Linked DNA regions of Caenorhabditis elegans. The protein of the gene in region 2 purifies or fractionates together with the protein of the main gene of each other region. This does not show direct contact. Each region holds a gene or a part of one and is shown on either strand. Other genes may lie near its edges.

Region 1 (3,881 bases), on a different chromosome or scaffold from region 2:
TGTCAATTATTTTAAAGATGGAGTCCGGCTGCCTGCAGAGGGCCAACAATTCCATTAACTATAGCTACCGCAGCTGTGTCGTTTTGAGCAACAGTAATACAAGCGAGTGCTTCGATGCGGGCCATGCTTCCAGTAACCAAGTTGACAGCTTCATACCTGAAAATAACGAGTTGAAATAAGTTATTAATTGAAAGTGTTGTAAATAGATGTTCTGAAATAATTTTATAAAACTCAAAAAATCACACACCGATCATGACGTCTGTTGCATTTAAAAGTCAATCCAGATTTGCTGCTTGCTGAGAGAACTGCATAGTCTCTAGTTTGAGTAAAGTCTGGTGAAGCTCCTCTTGATTTTCCGACAAGAATTTGAATCTGTGGATTTTCGCACACAGCAATTGCGTATTCTTTTCCATTACGATTGAAATAAGCAATCTTTGGAGCAGATAACAACGGGTTAGTTAATGGATTTGGCGAATTGAAAACACCAAGACGACGACATTCCCATTCTGGAAATATAAATGGTTGAAATTTAGATATCGTAAGTACTTACTCTCATCACTGTCTCTGCTGTTGCTACGAGAGTGATGACTGCGATGATGTCGATCATGTAAAACGTGGAAGTTATTATGATTATTGTAGGTGATGTCGCCGCCGTATCCGCTGCATGCAATCACTCCAAAAAGAGCGGAGATAGCTAGAAGATTCAGATGCATTTTCGGAATCGAATATGATAAAAGAAATATGGTGACACCTTTTATATAGCGTTTCTAGGCTCATGATACATTGAGAAATGTTTTGAGAATGAACCTAGTTTGTTTATATTAAAACATAGATACAAAATCTTGTCTCAAAAGAAAATTGATGACATCACAACAAAGAGAAAAAAGATGATTCATGAAATATAGTTAACTTCTGGAATAATGTGTGGAAAGTGAGAAGCGGGTGTCGACAAAATCAGAAAGTACAGAGCTTTAAAAAAATTTAAGGAATTAGGTATAATGATAAATTAGAGATGAAAATGGTACATTTGCATTAGTTAGTTACTTAGAAACTGGAATTTTATTAAAATAGTTTTTGTTTTTTATTGTTTCTCATGAATTAATTTTGTGGCTTCTAGGTGTTTATAAAAAATAATTGTCCTCAATAGGAGAAATAATTAAAAGTTTAGTTCAGATGCTGAAACCTATGAACCCATTAACACCACAAATTTCGTCATTACATCTTCAAAAAGGCTGAATTTGAATGATGCATGCGAATGGCTACGCGGGATATAAAGTTTGAAATAATTTTCAAGCAAAGTTTCTTCATTTTCTCTGCATTTGTTTTTCAATTTATCCTCTTATGCCACTGTATGTACCATTAACTACGTCTTCCTTCCCATCTTTATCCATCTACAATGTTTCTATATATTATGTTTCAGTTATTAGATTCTGGTCTCCGATTTTGTAAAATGCTCTAACAGACTAATGTTTGAAAAATTAAGTCTTAGCCAATCGCAGTGTGTATAAACTCTGAAAACTATCAGACATACAGTTTGATATTATTCATTTTATTTTCATTCGGATATCCGTCTGAATAGAATTGAAACTTTTGGAAAAAACAAAATTCGTTCACAAAACATCCATCTTTGTGACGTGATGTTTTATGTTTTCCCTCTGATTTCTTTCTATAAAAACCTTTACAACTCCACAAAGAACATCATTCACCAAGATGTTAGTTGTTCTTGCTATCTCTTTGGCAGTTACCGCAGTTTGTGCTCAATACGGATCAGGACCAGCCAATAATCCACCGGCTTCTTCCTATTCATCAAATGTTTACTATCCACCTCCGGTTTATGGATCAGTGTACTGGGATTACGATAGTGGAAGTCGTGAACATCGTCATAAACGTAAACCGTAGTCCATTAATAAATAAACATCTTACCAATTTCAGAGTGCCCACGTTTGAGAGCATATGTGGGTGAGTTCCCTGGTATCCCTGAGGAAGCATTCTATCCACCAATCATTCGATATGTCAAATACAACAGAAAAGTGACTGCTCTTGTTGTCTGTGATAGAGATGAAAAGAATTTGAACTTCCTTTTCGGTTAGTTATCTCGAACTATTCAAAGTAGATTAGTGATTGTATTTAACTATATCCAGCTCGTCACAACAAAACTCGTGATGTCCGTTCTGCCAGTGTTGTCGCTATTGGAAGCACCGCCGGTGTCACTCTCGTTTGTAATCGCGATGACAGAAGATATGAGGGATTTGTTATTGATATGAATGCAACTACAAACGGATTCTCTAAGAAAATCGAAATCACGCAACTCACTTGTCTTGGACTCGACAAAACTATTATTGGTCTTCCTGTGGAACACGGAGTACAACAACTGGCGCAAAAGATTCAGGAAATTTTGGAAGATGACTTCTTCGTTCCAGTTATTCCGTCGAGAAGGAAGAGACAAGCTGGTGGAGCAACTGCTAACAGCGCTGAATCCACGACTGAAGCAGCTGACACCGAATCCACAACTGAAGCCGCTGCCACCGAAACTCCTGCCGCCGAATCTACCACAACTGAAGCTTCCGCTACTGACGCTGCCGCCACCGAAGCTTCCGCTACCGATGCCGCCGCCACCGAAGGTGCTGTCACCAAAGCTGCTGCCGGAGTTACAGAAGAATCAGCTACGGAAGTGATCACTGTAGCAACAACACCAGCTTCACCAGATGCGGCGCTTAATAATGCTATTAACGAATTGGGAAAAATTCTCGGTCAAGTTTTCTAAATGCATTTCGATTTTAATTGTTTAATATGTCAATTGATTATTGAATAAAAGTCAATGAAAGCTAAAGTTATTTATACAATTTTCAGAGAATGTAAGAAAATTATAATATGACCACTAGAATCATTTAATATTCGGACCTAACTTCGTACCTAATTTTCGCCCGAAGGAAAAAATCTTGGTTAGGTAAAATATAATAGACCTTATATGTACTTGCGATCGCAGCAATAGCTTTTCCATTTTCACCAAAAGTTTTCTTGAAGATTATCAGCTTTTTAATGGTCGCCACCGGGGAAATGTTAAAAATGCCTCTTATAGTGCGAAACTGCCTAAAAGAGATAGAACAATAGTCTACATTTTTTTTGAATTCCCATTTTGCCACAAAGTTGCCTGAAAATTTTAAGTTAGCAAAACGATATTGAATAATTTTTAGGTAAAATCTACATATACTGAGAATTATGAACTTTTAACCGTTTCATTTTTGGACAAAATATGGTCGCGTTTAAAATTGAAAAATTAAAAATTAATATTCACAGCTATTATTATTTTAGATTTATTTGTAAATAATATGCAACGTTCTCATAAAATATTAAATCAATACGACTATATATTTTGCAGTCATTGATCACCTTTTAAAAGTTATCTTCAAAATGTTTCATGAAAATGTGATTGTTGTCTTCTTGTAGCCAAATGTTAAATTCACAGCTGTTTTTTTGAAGGAGGTCAACTCAGCCGACGAGCCATCGTCTTCTCTCCATTTTTGTCCTTCTAGGTAAACACGAGGCAAACCACAGTGGAGAACATAAGAACAGATAGACGATTGAAGAAAATTTCTTTTTCAAATGCGTTGACGGGTTTTTTCAAACTTTTTTGTTTTTCTCTCTCTCTCCAAATTCCGAACACAACTGTTAACCTGATAACGAATATTTAATTTCAGCCCAATGGGATGCATCTTGTCTTGTAAAGAAAAACCCAAAGCAAAGTTAAATCAAAACATAAACATACCAACGCAAATTCGGAGGACAGATACATTTCCACAAGAGATGGCAGAGATCAGAATGCAGGCCAAACACGTGCATTTTTCGGTTAGTTACTTTTATTGATTAGGATATCGGAAATA
Region 2 (8,262 bases):
ACATGATCCTTCGTGTACGGAAAAGTGTACTTTTTCCGACACTACAAGTAATTTGTGTGGGGAGAAGGAGGAGGAGGAGGTATTGGCGGTGTGAACTTTACCCACAAGAGGGGATACAAAGAACACACGGTTTTTTCTAAAACTAGAACATCACATCTTGTTGTTTATGACGGAATTTCGGAATTCCACGAGATTTTTGTGGTTGTTGTAGATGGTGGCATGGGGGAAGGGGGGAGAAGCGGATTTTTGATGAAAAGAAGGAAGAGAAGGAAGAAAATAAGAATATTAAAATGAATATATATTGGGGAAACATTATATAAAGCACTGAAAAGCGCAGGAAGAGCGCATATAGATATGATTACGGGGGGCTCTGAGAGTGCTGCTGATCACGTGGTGTGCCTTGTTGAGACGGTGGTGGCGGTGGTGGTGGACCAGATTGTTGACCAGATGGATTTACACCTTCAAAGCTTCATAAACGGTTAGAAATTTGAACTTTATAAACATTTAAAACATTACCTTGATTGCCTTGGAACTGCTGTGGAAGCGAATTCTGGCGGTGCATTTGTTGCTGTTGCTGTTGTTGTTGTTGCTGATAGTTTGGCATTGTACGGTAGTCAAAGTATCCCGACGTCGGGAATCCTTGATCAGATCGCTCGCCCATAAGACTTTGTTGAGGATGTTGGTTCTGTTGCATTGGCATCTGTTGGGGCATTATCATCGGATAGAATACTTGCTGAAAATGATTGAAAATTAGATTTACGTTTTTTTCTCGGTTTTGTTCTTTTATAGAGTGTGAGACATTTTCAAATATTTCTCAAAAAATGGTAATTTTAAATAAAATCTCAAAATTCAATTCAAAAAAAAAATCTATCCAGAAAAATTGCCGAAATAGGAGATCTCAGCTAAAATTTGCCAATTTTTCGTTGATTTGGGCACATTCAAGTTCTACAGTCGGAATCGAAACTTTCTCGCTATTTTTAAGAAAAAAAGTATGAAAAAAAACATTAGGCAATTTTTTCTCCTTTTTCACTGGGCGATTTCAGCTGTAGAACTTGCAGATCTACAAAAATTTAGCAGAGTCAATCACAATTTTGTTCTGAAACTTCTGAAAGAAAGGAAAAAAAACAAGAAAACCAAAAATCAAAAATACCACTGAAAAAAGGAAAGAAAGAGAGAGATTAAACATGCCTGAGGCTGCTGATAGTAATTAGGGATCTGCGGATGCATTTGATGCGGTCCCTGCATCACCATATACTGTTGAATGTGTTGCTGCTGCTGCTGCATCATCTGTGGTGGTGGTGCTCCGACGTGTGGAGGAGCATGATGTGGTGGATGTTGTTGTTGCTGATGCTGCTGCTGTGGTGGTGGTGGTGGAGGAACAGCACCTGGTGGAGATCCGCTTCGTTGTCCCGACTGAGAGCTCGTCGATCCGCTGTGACTAGCGTTGCTGCTCGACTCGGCCTGCATGTTTCCGTTCTGAAAATAGAGTCACGGTCACAATATTGAAAAGCTTCATCTTATTAGGCACAGAAAGTTTGAAAGAGGGAAACATGCGAATAAGTTTAAAAAAAAAGAAATCTCACCTGTGGAGCACCGCTCATCTTTGGCAACTCGCCACGTGGTCCCGGAGTCGTTGGCTGACTATTCGGATGTGATTGTGGGCGACTTTGCTCTCCGGAGAATTGTTGTTGCTGCGGTTGTTGCTGTTGCTGTTGCTGTGGTGGTGGAGGACCCTGGTATCTCGGCTGCTGCTGCTGACCCTGTGGAGGCATCATGTACACTTGTGGCTGCTGATATCTCTGTTGATAGGCACCCTGTGGAGCTTGCTGTGGCATCATCTTCATTTGGTATGGAGCAGCTTGCTGCATCTGGCCTTGGTACTGTGAATGATAGAATTGCTGAAAAAATTTAGAATTTTTGGAATTGAGAAATCAGGAATTTTAGATTAGGAAAAGTTTAAAATTCTAAAAATTCAAGGCCTTTAAAAATAAATGTTTTCCCTATTTCTACAGGGATATTCCAAATTTTCGGTTACCTGAGATGTGACTGGAACCATTTGTGGCGGTCCATATGGCATGTAGAGTGGCTGCTTCTCACGATACTCTCCATCTCTCAACTGATGATTCTGACCACCAGCCGCACTGGTTGGCACCTGATGCTGCTGATTTGGCTGCTGAGCAACAGTGACCGGAGTCGCAGCTCCCGGGCCATACATCTGTCCAGGAACACCTTGCATTGGGACATGTTGAATTGGGAATTGATGATTCTGTGGATAGCCGCCACCGCCTTGTTGCTGTTGTCCAGTCTGTTGCCACATCATCATCGGTGGTTGACCTTGATTTTGTGGGCCGCCCATGTGTGGTGGAACCATTCCCATTCCAGGAGCAGGTGGTCCTTGTTGTGGAGCCATCATTGCTGGATGTGGCTGTTGTTGTGGATGATATTCTGAAAATTTTAGAGTTAAAACTCCGTCTTGGCAGCCAAAATTTTTGTATCAAAAATTGATACCTATGTGTATTTAGAAAAATATTTATTTTGGTTTAAAAATTCCCTCTCAAATGACACAATTTGAGATCTTTCTCAAACCTTTCAACAAAAATTATCTTTTTTCTACATACATTTCTGTATTAATTTTTGATACAAAAATACTGAAAAAAAGCCGTTTTGTTCGTTTTCCTACCATTTTGCACTGGAGTCGTCGCTGTTGGAGTCGCCGGAGCCACACGTGGCTTGAACTCTGGAGCATTGATGTTGAATTTGAACGACGATGACTTCGAAGTGATCACTGAATCATTCTCTGAAGTAACGGAAACATTGTCGTCTTCCTGATGCTTTTCCGCGTCGTTCTGTACGTTTTGCACTGGTGCAGCTGCCACATCGACGCTTGTGGATGGAGCTTCTTCTGGAAATTGGCAAAATTGTTCATTTTTGTTGAGAAAAATAGAAAATAGATACCTTTTTTAGTCTCAGCCTCCTCTCCATTGGTTGTCGGTGGTGGAGTCGACTCATTTGATGATCCCTTGGCAACCAGCGAGCTCGGTGGTCCGCGATTCCAGGCACTACCCGAGTTTCCAGCTGGCACCGCCGGAGCCTGATCCTTTGGAGCCGTCGCAATCGAAAACTCGTTGCCCCAGTTCTTGAGATCTGTCACACGGGATCCACCGGCAGCAGCAGTGGCAGTGGTGGCAGATTGAGCTTTATCGTCAGCCGGCTTCACATTGTTGTTGGGTCTCGGATCCAGCATCTGCTTCTGCTGTTGACGGAACGAGTGGTCGTGGCCCTGGTTCTGGCCCTTCCCCTTGGCCATCTGCCAGTCTGAAAATTAAGTAGAATGAGTCATTGTTTAAACAAAAACGACGGAAATTGTTTTCTAAGGAATCAAAAATCGAATTTTTACCAAAAATACGTTACCCGGTCTCGGCACGACAAGCTTGTTTAATGCAAAAGGGTGGGCGCCTTGAAAAAATATTTCAAACTCTTGTTGCTGTGGAATATTCATATGAAACTATGAAAAAACAGAAATTTCGCAGCAAAAAGAGTTTGAAAATACAGTACTCTTTAAAGGTGCATACCATTAAACACAAATATGTCGTGTCGAGACCGGTTACAGTATTTTAACGCTATACCAAAATGCTCTTGATCTGATTCTGACAGATTTTCAAGAGGAATTTAAATCAAGATTTCTTTTAAAAGACACTAAAAACTTCGAAAACTGTGGAATTTCCATTATCTAGAAGGATCTGAGGACTGGTGAAGCTGCAAAGGAGGCAAAAAAGGTATGAACGATCGCATGTTTCATCATCATTCAGACACACACACAACAACAAAAAATCACCGAGAAAAAAGAGAGCGGAAAGGAATGAGAGAGAGAGAGAAAGTGTGGCGCCTCCCTAACGATCGATTGGTACACAACATAGACAACACGGTTTTTCGAGAAGAACACAACCAACTTGTGATGATGATGATGAAGATGATAAGCGGTGAGGAAGCGGACAGAGAGAGAGAGGTAGACAGAGGTAGAGAGAGAGACTTGATGAAAGCATGTATCAGAGACGCAGGTGTGTTTGTATGGATAAACTGGGACCCGTTCGGTCATTTTTTCAATTTTTTTTTTCGGCGTTTTCACTTAAAAATCGGCATTTACTTGTTTTTTCTGACACAAAGAAAACGTTTTTCAGTCAAAAATCGGAAAAAAAAACGATTTTTCCACTGAAAATAACACTATTGCAGAATTATTTCGTATTTCTGTGATCAAAATGTGAGGAAAGAATGAAAAATTGGTTTTCTGATGGGAAAAATCTGATTTTTTTGCTGAAAATTTGCAAAAAAAAAATCGCTTTTTTCCGCATCCCACGAGGAAAAACACTCCAATTAATCAGCTGAAGACAACCGCTGCAGCCGCTAGCGAAATTATGTCATGCGAAATGGGTCAAGAAAACGGAATACACCGAAAAAAGAACTGTTGGACGCGGAGAAAGAGAACGAGAGAGAGATAATGATCAAAGAGACACACTGTACTCTCGGGAATGTACACGAACCATTTTCCTCGTTCTGGCGGCGATAACCTTTTTGACCTTGCTGCTGCTGCTGATTCTGTGAATAGTTCTGCTGAGCCGCTGCTGGAGCACCGTAGCGACTATTGTTCGCTGAAGAGCTTCCACTATTACGACGATCTCCGCGAAGACCCTCGGCACGTCGATTCACTGGCTGCCCGTTTGGTGCAATATTCGGATTGCGGCGCTGTTGTTGTTGCTGGTTGAAGCTGTTATTATTGCTGAAACAAATAAATTTTTAAATTAATAAATTCAAATTTTTAAAGAATTCCAACCGCTTTCGGCCATTGCCATTCTCGAAATCCTCTTGACGCGTGATTTTGTCCAAATCTCGCTCGTCGTCGTCGTTCTCCAAGTTCGCCATAAACTTCGACGACGAGTTGGACTCAATTTCTCTAGCGAGCCGCTCGGCGCGTGCTCGATCTTCGTCGGTTCCTACCACTTCGACGCTGAAATTTGGGATTTTATTGCTTTGCACGATGTTTTCCAAAATTAAAATTAAAAAATCGGGTCAAAATATAGGAAAGCACTTGATCCATCAGAGAATAACACTGATTTCGGTAGAAATATTCGAAAAAATGCTTAAAAATAACCTGAAAATTGTCAATTATCAACTTTCAGGACATTTTTATGCAAAATTTTGCAAAAATGGTTCAGTGACAAGATTTTTTCAAGGCAAAACTGAAAAAAATAGATTCAGATGCCCAAAAACGCTTGCAGACTCCGAAAATCCTGGATTTTTCAAGCGAAAAAATTCAAATAAATTACGTTGTGTATTGCGTTAAATCCTCTTTGAACGTCGACACCACGTTCATCTTCTCGTTGGCGGCGAACATGTCGTTGACCGACCATCCGGTGCCGTTGTTGTGATTGTTGCTGCGACGAGCGGCGGTTTGTCCACCAGCAACGACGACGTCGTCCTCAATGGATCCTCCGAGTCCGTCCTCCTCACCTCCGTTCCATTCCTGAAGCTCTTCGCCCTCGATTGGAGTATCTCCGTGGTATTGTCTATCGGTGACGAATTTGCTGACTGAAAATGGAGAGTTTTTCAGCTTTTTCGGATTAAAAATCGTAACTGTGAACCCGACTTGGCCCAAAATTAAAGATGTCATGCATTTTTTTTAATGAAAAAGTTCCCTGAAACAGCTCTTACCAGCATGCTGCTTCTTGATCTCTTGCGTAACGTACGCAAAATCGACAATATCACTATAGTGAAATACCATCTTGTCTCTGCATTCCGACTCTGTTCTCAGCAAGTTATTCTCGTTCTCCTTCGTAATTTCCACGACGCACTGCATCCCGAAATCGAAATCCTGAGACACGGCGCCCAGCACCCCAGAATATCGCTTTTTGTCCGTAGTATTAATGATAATTACACGTCCGATCATATCATTGATGGCGCTCAACACATCGCCATTTAGCGCAGGAAGACCCGTTGGTGTTGACTGGAAAAATTGTATTTTTAAAGAAATTTTCAAGTTGCCAGCGCTTACCATTTCTTTCATTCGCACTTTGGATGCAAATAAAATATAAATAAATAGAAGATTGTCTGTGGAGCAGTCAAAGAGTTTGGGTACAGGAGAAATGTACCTGAAAATGGAAAAAATTTGAATTTTAAAAACAGCAATTTCGCAACGATAATGGAAGTTTAATATGAGTAACAGTTTTGGGCAAATTTTTGAAATTTCCAACACAATCCCGTTTTTCAAGGTTTCACCACGTGCAAAACGAGCCACAAGAAGAAAATTATCCACAAAATTCGCGGAAAAATTTGAAAAACGTTCGAGAGAGAGACGAGAGAGCACGCAGACAGCGGAGGACACGCACATGCGGTAAATGACGCGCCGATTTCCGTCGGGATTGCCTGAGACTCCGCCCTATGCAAGTGCGCCGCACAGGGTTTCGCAAGTGTGCCGCGCGCATTTTACACAGTGGGGTTTTCAGGAAAGTCGATATAGTGGGAATTAGTGGATTTTTTCCAAGGAAAGTGGTAAAACATGAACATTTCGCCTCAACAGTTGAGTTTTTGGGCAATGAATAAAAGCATTTTCCCCAAATCAAAAAGTTTATCCGCAATTTATTGAATTAGGTCTGACAAAATTCAGATTTTGTTCTTAAAAGAAAGATAGGACATTTCTTCATAGGAGCACACACTTTTTTCATTTGACAAAAAATTATCTTGCCGGGTACCACATTTCTCGTGCAAAATTTCGCGATTGGGAAATATTTATCTGTTTGACACCACAGATTTTGGGGAAACTCCCACTCGGAGAAATTCTTTCCCTGCGCTATCTTCCAATACACTTTGTCGATAATACAATTTGAAATAAACAAAACTAATTCTCAATTTAAAATTTATCGCTCATCAAAAATATTTAAAAATTTCCCCTGTTTTTCGGTCTTTTTTTCAAGACTCAAATTTCTGTAGAGAAAGGTTCTGTGACGTCTCTTGTCAAGTTCGCCCCATTGACACGATGAAGAGAGACGCAGACTGAAAATAAAAATATTTTTGATGACATTTTGGAATAAATTCAAGAACATTTTACTTTTTGCGGAAAAACCGAGTTTCTCGTATTGTTTTGAACAATTTTTAGCAATTTCAGTGTAATTTCTTCATTTTTCGACGTTAATTTCTTCGTAAAACGCTAAATATTTAGTATTTTCAGCATGGAAAGCCCAATGGAAGTCGATGCTCCCAGAGAATCAGCTTCGCTGACGTCTCTCGACTCAGCAAATGATGGTAAGCTAGTCTAGCTTCTAATTTACATAATGAACTTGAAATTTTCAGTGGAAAGAGTCTTCCTGCGGCTCGTCAACGCCAACTCGGACGCCAAGCTACAAACTATCACAGATCGGCACTTGTGCGATGTGTTGGAGTTTGCCGGGAGAAAGCAGGAGCACATTCAGCTGGTAAGACGCAAAAATTCGCTGAAATTTGATTCAAAATGACTAAAATTCGTGATTCCAGGTCACCGAATTTCTCACACACTTCAACAAAGTCGTCAAGAGCAATTTGGCGATCCGTCTCCCAGTGCCACGTCTGCTCGAACTTTTCCAAGGCCCGAGTGCCATTTCATCGGTTTGTAGCGTTCTCCAGACGATGTATAACCCAAAAAATTAATATTTTTTCCAGAATTTCAGTCTGATCTATCTCAAAATGGCAAAAGACCGGATCCAGGCCGCCGAGCAGCTAGAGTTTCTGCCTGTATACTTGACATCGTTCAGCAAGAAGCCCAATGATCTCAATTACATTTACGAGTAAGTAAAGTAGAACTATTTATATTTTCTATATAATTTTTTCCAGCATTCTCTCGTTGTGCCTGCCGGGACTCCACGAGCTCGCGAGAATCGAGAAAAAACACTGGCCGACGATCGAGATGAGCTCTGTCGACGTGGAAATCATTGCCAGATGCTTTCAGGCGATTCTCGTGTTCTCTGCACGAAGCATGTACGTAATTTCAGTTTTCAGAAGCGAATTTCCTGGTTTTAATCTGAAACATGCCTAGCATTTTGTTAATTTTACAATATTTCATGCCGAAATCTTCACGAACTTTGCCTGCTTTAACTCTAATATTTTATTTCAGTGAGGACATCAAAGTGCTCGTCGAGAAGCTTCCCACAGCATCGTCGGCTCCTGAGCTCCCAGCGCTGAGCATCAACGAATTTGTTCAAATTGGGCGGAAAGTCTTCCCGCTGGGGCTGAATTTGA
Region 3 (4,657 bases), on a different chromosome or scaffold from region 2:
TTAAACCTTATTCATAGTGCTTAATTAAAATTTTTGTTGAACCCTACGTCCATAATGTCAATTATGTCTGGTGTCTGATGGACTAATCGCAAATTAACTGTGAAAATAGTTTTAGGAATACATTTAAAAATAATAATTTTAAAAAATCAATCTTTTTTTTCAGAGAACAATTCGCGCCACATGCACCATACAAAGCAAATCATCCCGTCGCTTCTCCCAACAAATTTGTCCGCCAACTTCGAGACGATAGTAAGCGCTGTCTCCAAATACACTTCAAAAAAAATTATCAATATTTCAGACCTAACCCATAGCCAACGCGAAGCCAACACCCACACTGAGCCAGTATACCAAAGAGATCCAAATTACAATCAACGATTCCAGGAGATTAGAACCAAATCTACATCCTATTCCAGGTAATTAAAATGCTATAATATTTCTACAGTAAAGAAAAAATTACAGAGGAGGAGATGATATTGACCAACTTACTCAACAACTTGTCAGTGGTATGCACTCCGGAAAATCACGATACAACTGAACCCATATTTCTTTTTGCTAATTTTTTTTCATCGTTGTAATTACGACTATAAATTGCCATACTCTTATGTTTCACCCAACCGCCACCCCCATCACCAGCTTCAATATTTGGTGTCTCTGATGTCATTGAAATGTTTTATTAAATGTACTCAATATCAATAATTAATCATTCTGACTCAATATAATTTACAAAATTGAACGCTTCTGTCTGTTTACAATTTTGACTTCTTCGCCTTTTCAAGAACGGTTTGAAGTTTCTGAAGAAGCATTACGTTTCCCTTCACTTTCAGTTTTCCGCTCATGAATGCCTGTAAATAATGGTTTGTGGAAGATTAGTACTATCAGTGCCAGCGTATACCTTTTGAGCATTCAATTTTCCGGCTGCAATGTCAACAAAATCGCTATCAGCAACAGTGACCGTCGCGTTAGCTTTTTCTCCGTTCTTTACATCACCCAAGTACACGGATGGAGATGCACTTTTGAAGTCAAGAGCTGAAATAATACTAGTTTTAATATAATTGACGCATCAAAAACTAACTGAATTTTCCAAGCTCGTTCTTTCCGTCAGTGATGATGTAAAGGACAATCGATTTCAAAGTTTTTACTGCAGTTGGGTCAGCCTTCACACCATCAGCCATTTCCTGGAACAGTGCACTACTCCTGATGTTTGAGGGGAAAGCACCACCAGAAGAAGCACCAGAAGAAGCACTGCTACTTCCAGATGAAGCTTCGTGCTCTTCCAGGATTGAGACAAGTCTAGCACTCTGCTCAGTGATGGTTCCGATGTACTCGGCTCCGTTCATGTTGGTGATGGTTGACCAGTTCTTGGCAATGTCATCAGCTGATGCGTGTGAAATAACCTTTCCTTTAGATTTGTAATATTGAATAGTTCCGTACCATCCAGCTCCAGCTTCAAAAACTTTTCCGGACTCTTCGAAAGAATCATGCACCATGTATGTCACGAGTGGGGTGACATAGTCTGGTTTCAAAGCATCAACGAGATTCTGTAAAGATTTCCGTTATAAAAAAATCATTCTTCAAAATACCTGTGGCATGACAGTCTCGGTAAGTCTAGATCCGGCTGTTGGGACCAGGGTATTTGCCAAAATGTTGTACTTTGCACCTTCTTGGGCGAGAGAGTTTGACAGACCAATGAGAGCACTTTTGGCAGCAGCGTAGTTGGCTTGTCCAAAGTTTCCGTGAACTCCGGCATTGGAAGAGGTGACCACAATACGCCCGTACTTCTGATCTCTCATGTATGGCCAAGCGGCTTTGGTGACAGCATAGGCTCCCTTAACGTGGACCTTGAAGATAAGATCTGAAAATTGAGCAGATTTATTTTATTTTTTGAAAGCTATTACAAACCCCAATCAAGCTCGGTCATCTTGAGGAAAGAAACGTCACGAAGGATACCAGCGTTGTTGATAACAATATCTGGAACCAATTTCAAATCCATCAGTATTCTATTATCAAAAAACTGTACCAATTCTTCCAAAATTGTCGATGGCGGTTTTTACGATTTTGTCTCCAAACTCAACGCTGTCATAATTGGCAACTGCTTGTCCTCCAGCTGATTTGATTTCTTGAACAACCTTGTCAGCCATTGATGAAGAGGATGAAGTTCCATGTCTATCTCCTCCAAGATCGTTTACAACAACTTTGCATCCTCTCTTGGCAAGTTCAAGAGCATATGTCTTGCCAAGACCACCTCCAGCTCCAGTGACAATAGCAACTTTTCCGTCAAAACGAAGAGACATTTTGTTTCTAAAATGAAAAAAAATAATTTGGCAACGACTATACAAAACTCAATAAAAGAGTTTTAAAAAACACAAAATGTAGGAAGAGAGAAGAAAAGGTAATCAACTGATAGAGAGGAATGGTCATTGATTATATACATGACTACGCTGTGGTCTTCTCATGTCTTCTATTACTGGCAAAGTGTGGGCAAGAAAACGCGCGTTGCGTATGATAACGGTACACTCGAGTCGATTCAATTGATTGTGTTCGAATAAGTGACTACAAACAATTGAACCATTGCAAAAAAAACTGATCGAGTACCATAGATAACATGAAGCAATAACTGTCGCAGTTAGGTATAAATATTTTTTAAAAAAACCTAGAAAAACTTTACGACAATCTATAAACTATTTACAGACAATAACTGTGATTCTGTAATGTTCACTGGTAAATATTTTAGAAATATATGAAACAAGATTTTTTTCAAAAAAAGTTTAAAATGATAAAAATGATCTTACAGCGTAGAAACAAAACTTGAATTTAAAAAACCTCAAAACCAGTCAGCTTTAGATTTGAAATTATGGAACACACATTAAAAGTAAATTCAAGCATGGTGAGATTTTTAAAATGAAGTTTTACTATGTTTTTAAAACAATTTTGCGATATCAGTTTTTGATTTCTTATCCTTAATCTTTTGAAAATGAAACTAAAAAATGAAACAACTTTAGTTGAAATCCAAGAAAGTCTAATAACTTAAAACCATCTTCGTTGACTTTAACCATTAAATGTGGACTGTGGAGAAATTATTATATACCAAAGATGAAATGATTTTTTTTAAATCATAACAAAACTTTTCAAAAAAATTGGGAAAATGTATTATTTCGAATCAAATAGCAGTGAAAACCCAGCCTTCACAATTGTTTTTTGACAATCGTCGATAAATAAATTCATTACAGTTTTACAAATTAATTATTTTTAAAATATTCATATTTCAACATTTTAGGGGGTTGAACAAGCGACAATGTTTCAGATTTCTCCCAATAAAAACAAGCATAGTTTTTATCGCTTTTTGACTCGACATAAAAAGTCGACAATCGAAAACTTTTCGAAATCCTAAAAAACACGTCATCAAAACTTTCTAACTGAAATCTTATTATTGAGGAGTAGCACATTCTTAATAAACTGACGTATTCGGAACTGCATTTTTTTTTCTGTTTTTAATGTTAATGTGAATAATTCAAAAAAAAATTCCAAGATGACATTCATTTAAATTTTCTGACTTTTCAAAGTGAATAAGCCATTAACAATTGACATAGAGTGCAGCGAGAGCATAAGGGATATCCAGTGTAATAGATGCAGTAAGGCGAATGTAGGGTACAAGTAAAAAAGCCAAATCTGACAATTAAAGAAACATAGCAATTAGGAGGGGGAACAAATGAAAAAAAAAAGAAGACACTCACACAATCTCAAAACCAGTTTCTAGAAAAGTTATGAAAGATGAAAGATGAACAATGAGGCGAATTACCGTGTAATATGTTTCGAATCAAATGAGAATGGGTTCAAGCACGACACTGAAAAAAAGAAGCGGTTAAGTAAGGCAGTTGGGAAAATACAAATGTACAAAAAAAGAAAAGAAAAAATAACCAAAAATGGAGGAAAAAAGAAAAAAAATGAAATGCTGAATATATTTTAAAAAAATCTAACAAAAGTGTACAATTAAACACATTAAGAAGATGTACAATTATCAAAAATTGGGAGGAAATCCGATTACTTATTCACACCTCCGGGTACATCTTTTTCACCCCATTTTCGACGTTCGTCTTGATAAGTATCAGGACGTAGTTGGTTGCGAAGTCCTCCCAGTAGTTGGTACGTGACTTGAGTAGCCATAACAATAGGTCCCAGGAACGTTGGAACAGCGTAACGGAACGCACTTCTGACGACGGAATTTCCTGAAGCCCGGTCTTCCTGAGCAGCGAGTTCCAGATCATCTCTCGTCTGATGATACCCCTGCAAAACATTTATGATGGTAATTGGAATTTTTGAAAAAACAAGTACCCAAATAATCTACCATACAAATAATACAAACTGAAGAGAAAACTTACATCATAAAGAATTCCGTAAGCGAGTTGCAGACTATGGCGGACATCTGTCGGGTTCATACCGTGATTTCTGTTGTATCGTCTCGCAACTCTCCTTGTTGACGGGTCGTCTGGTTTTATTTCCTTCATCGTCATCTCGGCGAGACTTTGCACAAATCCAGTGACTGTCTGCGCCATACCTACTATACCAGCTGCAGATGATACACTGAATGAGCCCACTCCTCTCTGCACTCCCTTCATCACATTTCCATCGTCTTTACGGAATTCGGCTACAGGCATCAAGA
Region 4 (5,112 bases), on a different chromosome or scaffold from region 2:
ACCAACAACTGAAATCCAAAAAGATAGAGACCCAAGTGATTAAGGTCGAAGAAATTGTTGAGGTAATTTCAAATACTAAATAGAAACAATTCACTATTATTTTAACACACAATTTTTAGGAAACCGTAACAAAAACCACCGTCAAACGGAAAAAATCGGGAGTTCGATTTGCGCAACAGCTTGAAAATGTGAAAACATTCCATCAAACAGACACTGTCGAAATCAAGGAAGAAGATTCAGTTATTGAAACCAAATCAATTCTCCGGAGCACTGAACCAACACCCGTTGATCGTTCAGCTCTCGAACCCGAGCAAAAGGAACTTGCTGCGATGAGCACAATGACATTTCCAGGAGAAATTGTTGAGAAGAATCCGTACGAGTGTGAGCCGTCGACAAGCAGAGACCCCGCTCCCGTCATCACCGAGAAAAAAGTTTCCAAATTCAGAGCTTCCAGGCATAGAAATTGATCTTTACTTTCTAATTTCTATATAATTTTCATATCGTTCAGCTATATATCATTTTATGCTCACTGTTAAACACTTTTGCCACATTGGTCAACATTTCCCCCGTAGAATCTCTTTTTCTGTGTTTGAAAACTAACATTTAATAGTTGGCAGCAATTATCACGTTCCCATTGTCATTAAAGTTCTAGTATATTTCAAAAATAAAATTAAACAGTTTCAAACATTGCTTTAATTTCAAAACTAAAGATGGATTTCTTTCCTGAACAGTTGGTCTGATCACATTAGGCTGAAGAGACTAAACCATATTCGCAATGGGAGTATAATGTGCGCATATTGTGTTATCTTCCTTCGCTCCATGGCGAATCAACTGTGAACCAACTCTACAACAGACTCGGACACAAATCGATAGTTATATAAAATTTCGCTGTTTGAACGTTGCCATGGGGGCAATTTTGGATTTCTCACAACTGATCTAACGGGAAGGAATCAAATAAACTGAAATTAACAGTAAAATTTTAAATCAAAATATCTCGGAGCTCTAGGGTGAATAGAAGCTGGAATTTTAGAGGAATTCACTAGAACCTTCTACTATCAGATGGTACTATTGTCTTTTGGAAGTAAAGAGTCAGGTGAAAGAACTTTCCTTGTAAATGACTATTCGTCCAAAATCATATTACCGATTTCAGCATAGCTACAGTAATCCTACAGTACCTGCATTTCATACATTAAAGGCAACATTTTGAACTTTAAAACCTATATGAAACATTTATCAGAACAAAGAGAATATGATCAGAGTTCACAATAAGATCTGAGACATAAAACATGTTTCTGATAAGAATTATTTTGCAGATAGTTGCCGGGATGCAAGATAATAGAAAAAGTGAAAACAATTGTCTGAAATTTAAATGTATTGAAAAACAAACAATCTTGAACAATTGGGGAAGTAAGGCTGATTTTAAAAGTCAAATAATTAAAGTATTTTGAAAATCGAAAGCTAACTTGTCAAGTCACCTCAAACCAAGGGAACGCTATTTTTTCCAATGATATTTTAGAACAATAGTTGATAAAAACTTTTGAATTTTAAGAAAATTTTCTGAAAAAAAAGGTTCTTTAAATTTATTGAACTAGTTAACTAGCTAGTTCAGTTTACTTTAAAAATCAGAATTCATGAATTCCATCAGAGCTAAAAACCAGCAGTAGACTTTTCTAGCGGATAATTTAAACAACGACTTCAGATCAAGAATCGAAGTCTTTAATTTTTATGGAGAAATTTTTAATTCAATTGAAACCTGCCGAACCGAAAGATCTTTTTTGTCATCTTTATGAAAACACATTCAGTTTCCGAATTAAATATCCTTCAGCAATATTCCAGCCCTAAACGTTCAAATGACAAATAAAGATTTAGTTGTCCACATATTGAATCAAGAAATAAACATTTTCAGGCCCAAGGGGTCTGTGACCACAACGTGATCTATGATGTATAAGTGGGTGTGGCTACTACTACAGTACTACTCCTTATAAAAACCTTCCATCTACCACACTAATTACTTTCACCTTCACAATGTCCACTTCTACTACTAAAATTCTAAAACAAGCAATGAACATCATATCTACCATCAGAAGCTCGTACAGTACTGCAACCGCAGTTTCTATTTCTCGACATTGTGAAGATTTCACAGGAACCCCTCCACCGGTAAACTTGCTAACTGAAAATGAACTCTTCTTTGCGGATACTGGTTTGTTTTAAATTTATTTAAAGAAGTTAAAGTTTTACACTTTCAGTTCGTAAGTTTTCCAAAGATGTTGTAAAGCCATTAGTCAGGGAAATGGATAAATACTCAAAAATGAGCCCGATTGTGACGCAAGGTGTATTTGAAAATGGGGTAAGTTAATTCTTATTACTTAAATTTTAATGTTATGGAAAAGGGGTTTATATTTACACTGTTTATTATGAAAACCTAAAAAAAGTATAATAAGAAGGAAGATTGATAAATACTTTATAACTTTGTAAGGTAACGTTTCAGTAAAATCAATTTCATGGAAATATCCAAAAACTTTTGCATTAAACACTTAACTTATTTAACTAATTATGCTATAAAAATGAGAAAGTTTTAGATTGACTTTTCTAGTTCAAAACGATTGTAAGCAGATTTATTTATAGACCTGTTAAGAAACGAAAAAATCTTCCAGCTAATGGGTGTTCATGTTCCTGAAGAATACGGAGGCTCTGGATCCTCTTTTTTCAATGCAATGATTGTCATTGAAGAGTTGGCAAAAACTGATCCATCTGTATCTGCAATGGTTGGAATTCACAACACCCTCCCTGTATCAATGATTATAGATTATGGAACAGAAGAACAAAAACTAAAATACTTGCCTCGTCTCTGTTCTGATAGTCTTGCATCCTTCTGTATCTCAGAATCAGGTGCTGGATCCGATGCATTTGCATTGAAAACTATTGCAAAACGAGATGGAGATCACTTTTTGATCTCTGGAACTAAAATGTGGATTACTAATTCAGGAGAGGCACAGGTTTTTGTGGTATTTGCAAATGCAGATCCTAGCCAAAAATACAAAGGTATCACATGTTTTATTGTGGAAAGATCAGCGGATGGTCTTACTGTAGATAAGGAGGTATGTTCAGTTTTTAACTTTAGAGCAAAAATGAAAAAAAAATTTACAGGAAGACAAACTTGGAATCCGAGCTTCATCCACTTGTCAAGTTCATTTTGACAATGTTCGTGTCCACAAATCAGCAATTCTGGGAGAGTATGGAAAAGGTATGAGATTCTAGTAAAATCAATCAATAACTTGCATGTTTCCAGGCTACAAATACGCAATTGAATGCCTAAATGCAGGTAGAATTGCCATTGGAGCACAAATGATTGGACTGGCTCAGGGTTGTTTCGATCAAACAATTCCATATCTTCAACAGAGAGAACAGTTCGGTCAGAGACTTATTGATTTTCAGGTTATTTTTGAAATTGGGTTTGAATTTTTGATACACAAATGTTCAGGGTTTACAACATCAGATTGCACAAGCTAGAACTGAAATTGAGGCCGCACGTCTACTAGTGTATAATGCTGCCCGTATGAAAGAATATGGAATACCATATGTACGAGAAGCTGCAATGGCGAAACTGTTTGCATCACAGGTAATTTGATAAATTGTAGAAACACCACAGGCACAGAGCTCGTGCTCTGATCTAATTGTACATGTTCTAGAGTTATAAATGATTATCATAAAATAGAAGCTCATCATCGGAGCTTTATATAATGAGCGATATTATTTTTTTTCAAATATTTCATATCAAAAAGTATGTCTTAGAATCTGAACCGTTGTGAAATGAATATTCTGAAAAAAATTCAATTGAATTCAAATGTTTCAAGGTTGCAACATCAACATCAGCTCAATGTGTAAAATGGCTCGGTGGTGTTGGATTCACAAAAGAATTTCCAGCCGAAAAGTTCTATAGAGATGCAATGATTGGAGAGATTTATGAAGGAACTTCCAATATTCAATTGAACACAATTGCCAAATTAATTGATAATGAGTATAAATGGAAAAATTAATTGATTCGCCTTCCGTTGTATGCTTTTTGTAAATTTGAAAACGTATTGATAAATCTAAAAGTTGAACAATTTTGAATAAAACACAAGATTTTTACAGAAACCTGATGTAGGTGCACTCGTATCAACTTACTTAATTCAATCTCCTACCGTACATCCCACCCTCACAGTTATATTTCTTATCACATATCGATGGAGACTTGATGTGACTCTGAGACTGCTCCAATAGTATTCTGTACTGCTATCGTCCAAACAAATCTCAAAAGTATCTGAATGTATCACTCGGTTCTCAACAAGTGTTTGCAATTGGTGTATACACTGGTGATAAATCAGGAAACGCAACTGAATACTTGGAGCAGTTATTTTTGAAAGGTACTTTAAAAGTTTTGACCTTCACAATTTTATCTCGTGAAGAGCGTGAAACCCTAAATACATGAGTTTTTGAAACGTATTTCACGTAGTCTTACCCCCTCTCTATAAAAGCAGTAGATTCATTAGTTTTTCAAATTATTACCGACTTTGGTAAAGTATTGGTCGCAGTTCTTAACAACTTCCGAAGCAATTTAGCATGTCGAAGATGAGTAAGTTACTATGAAAGTTCGAGTATGCCAATCATGTAAATTGTTTCAGAACGGCGTACAAATAAGCCTCGCGCTACAGAGAGTGCAAACAGCAGCACCAAATCGTCTGTGCTCGATGAGCCAACACTGGTTGAGCGGAAACAACAAAAGAAACAGGTAAACTATTTTGATTTTTGAAAATATAAGGAGCCTCGCAGTACATCACAAAAACTATCATACTATCTCCCATTAAATATAAATCTGTTGCAGATCTTGAAGTTCGTTCAACGTACACTGGAAAAGATGCCGCAAGGGCTTCGCGCCGAGTTCGTTGGGATGAGACGCTTCAACGATTTTGAGAAAATGAAAGCGTTCAAAGAAGCTCAAGAAGCTGGAAAGAACCGCTACAAAGACGTTGGATGCCTTGACAACAATCGTGTCAAACTGGAGGGACCATGGCCTCATGAATACATTCATGCGAACTACGTGGCAACCCCAACGAACCCGAAAAGATTCAT

The links.
Region 1: the proteins of atx-2 (region 2) and ule-3 purify together in Caenorhabditis elegans (affinity purification with mass spectrometry, with the first as the bait; one large-scale study listed by BioGRID). This does not show direct contact.
Region 3: the proteins of atx-2 (region 2) and dhs-28 purify together in Caenorhabditis elegans (affinity purification with mass spectrometry, with the first as the bait; one large-scale study listed by BioGRID). This does not show direct contact.
Region 4: the proteins of atx-2 (region 2) and acdh-1 purify together in Caenorhabditis elegans (affinity purification with mass spectrometry, with the first as the bait; one large-scale study listed by BioGRID). This does not show direct contact.

Annotation. Positions count from the first base shown.
Region 1 is NC_003283.11:10,792,098-10,795,978, forward strand, and holds ule-3 (Uterine Lumin Expressed/locailized), read left to right. Parts: upstream 1-1,700; 5' UTR 1,701-1,710; coding exon 1,711-1,888; intron 1,889-1,932; coding exon 1,933-2,085; intron 2,086-2,141; coding exon 2,142-2,764; 3' UTR 2,765-2,827; downstream 2,828-3,881. Other genes in the region: D1054.10 (DUF1525 domain-containing protein), read right to left, coding at 12-156, 248-506, 551-713; D1054.19 (Ragulator complex protein LAMTOR5), read left to right, coding at 3,703-3,846.
Region 2 is NC_003281.10:10,459,509-10,467,770, reverse strand, and holds atx-2 (Sm domain-containing protein), read right to left. Parts: upstream 6,383-8,262; coding exon 6,047-6,382; intron 5,999-6,046; coding exon 5,707-5,998; intron 5,584-5,706; coding exon 5,322-5,583; intron 5,003-5,321; coding exon 4,829-5,002; intron 4,775-4,828; coding exon 4,539-4,774; intron 3,316-4,538; coding exon 2,956-3,315; intron 2,903-2,955; coding exon 2,681-2,902; intron 2,446-2,680; coding exon 2,036-2,445; intron 1,899-2,035; coding exon 1,584-1,898; intron 1,477-1,583; coding exon 1,185-1,476; intron 730-1,184; coding exon 517-729; intron 468-516; coding exon of another isoform or gene 460-467; coding exon 359-459; downstream 1-358. Other genes in the region: ecps-1 (Proteasome component Ecm29 N-terminal domain-containing protein), read left to right, coding at 7,221-7,293, 7,342-7,463, 7,522-7,632, 7,687-7,811, 7,858-8,001, 8,138-8,262.
Region 3 is NC_003284.9:6,816,079-6,820,735, reverse strand, and holds dhs-28 (Ketoreductase domain-containing protein), read right to left. Parts: upstream 2,299-4,657; 5' UTR 2,292-2,298; coding exon 2,018-2,291; intron 1,969-2,017; coding exon 1,900-1,968; intron 1,853-1,899; coding exon 1,581-1,852; intron 1,539-1,580; coding exon 1,073-1,538; intron 1,027-1,072; coding exon 893-1,026; intron 843-892; coding exon 747-842; 3' UTR 656-746; downstream 1-655. Other genes in the region: gei-15 (GEX Interacting protein), read left to right, coding at 164-249, 299-413, 460-535; atg-2 (Autophagy-related protein 2), read right to left, coding at 4,039-4,281, 4,377-4,657.
Region 4 is NC_003279.8:6,495,428-6,500,539, forward strand, and holds acdh-1 (Short/branched chain specific acyl-CoA dehydrogenase, mitochondrial), read left to right. Parts: upstream 1-2,008; 5' UTR 2,009-2,025; coding exon 2,026-2,200; intron 2,201-2,246; coding exon 2,247-2,347; intron 2,348-2,654; coding exon 2,655-3,098; intron 3,099-3,147; coding exon 3,148-3,244; intron 3,245-3,289; coding exon 3,290-3,435; coding exon of another isoform or gene 3,436-3,481; coding exon 3,482-3,619; intron 3,620-3,854; coding exon 3,855-4,037; 3' UTR 4,038-4,133; downstream 4,134-5,112. Other genes in the region: uri-1 (Unconventional prefoldin RPB5 interactor), read left to right, coding at 1-62, 120-467; C55B7.3 (Protein-tyrosine phosphatase), read left to right, coding at 4,603-4,615, 4,665-4,771, 4,865-5,112.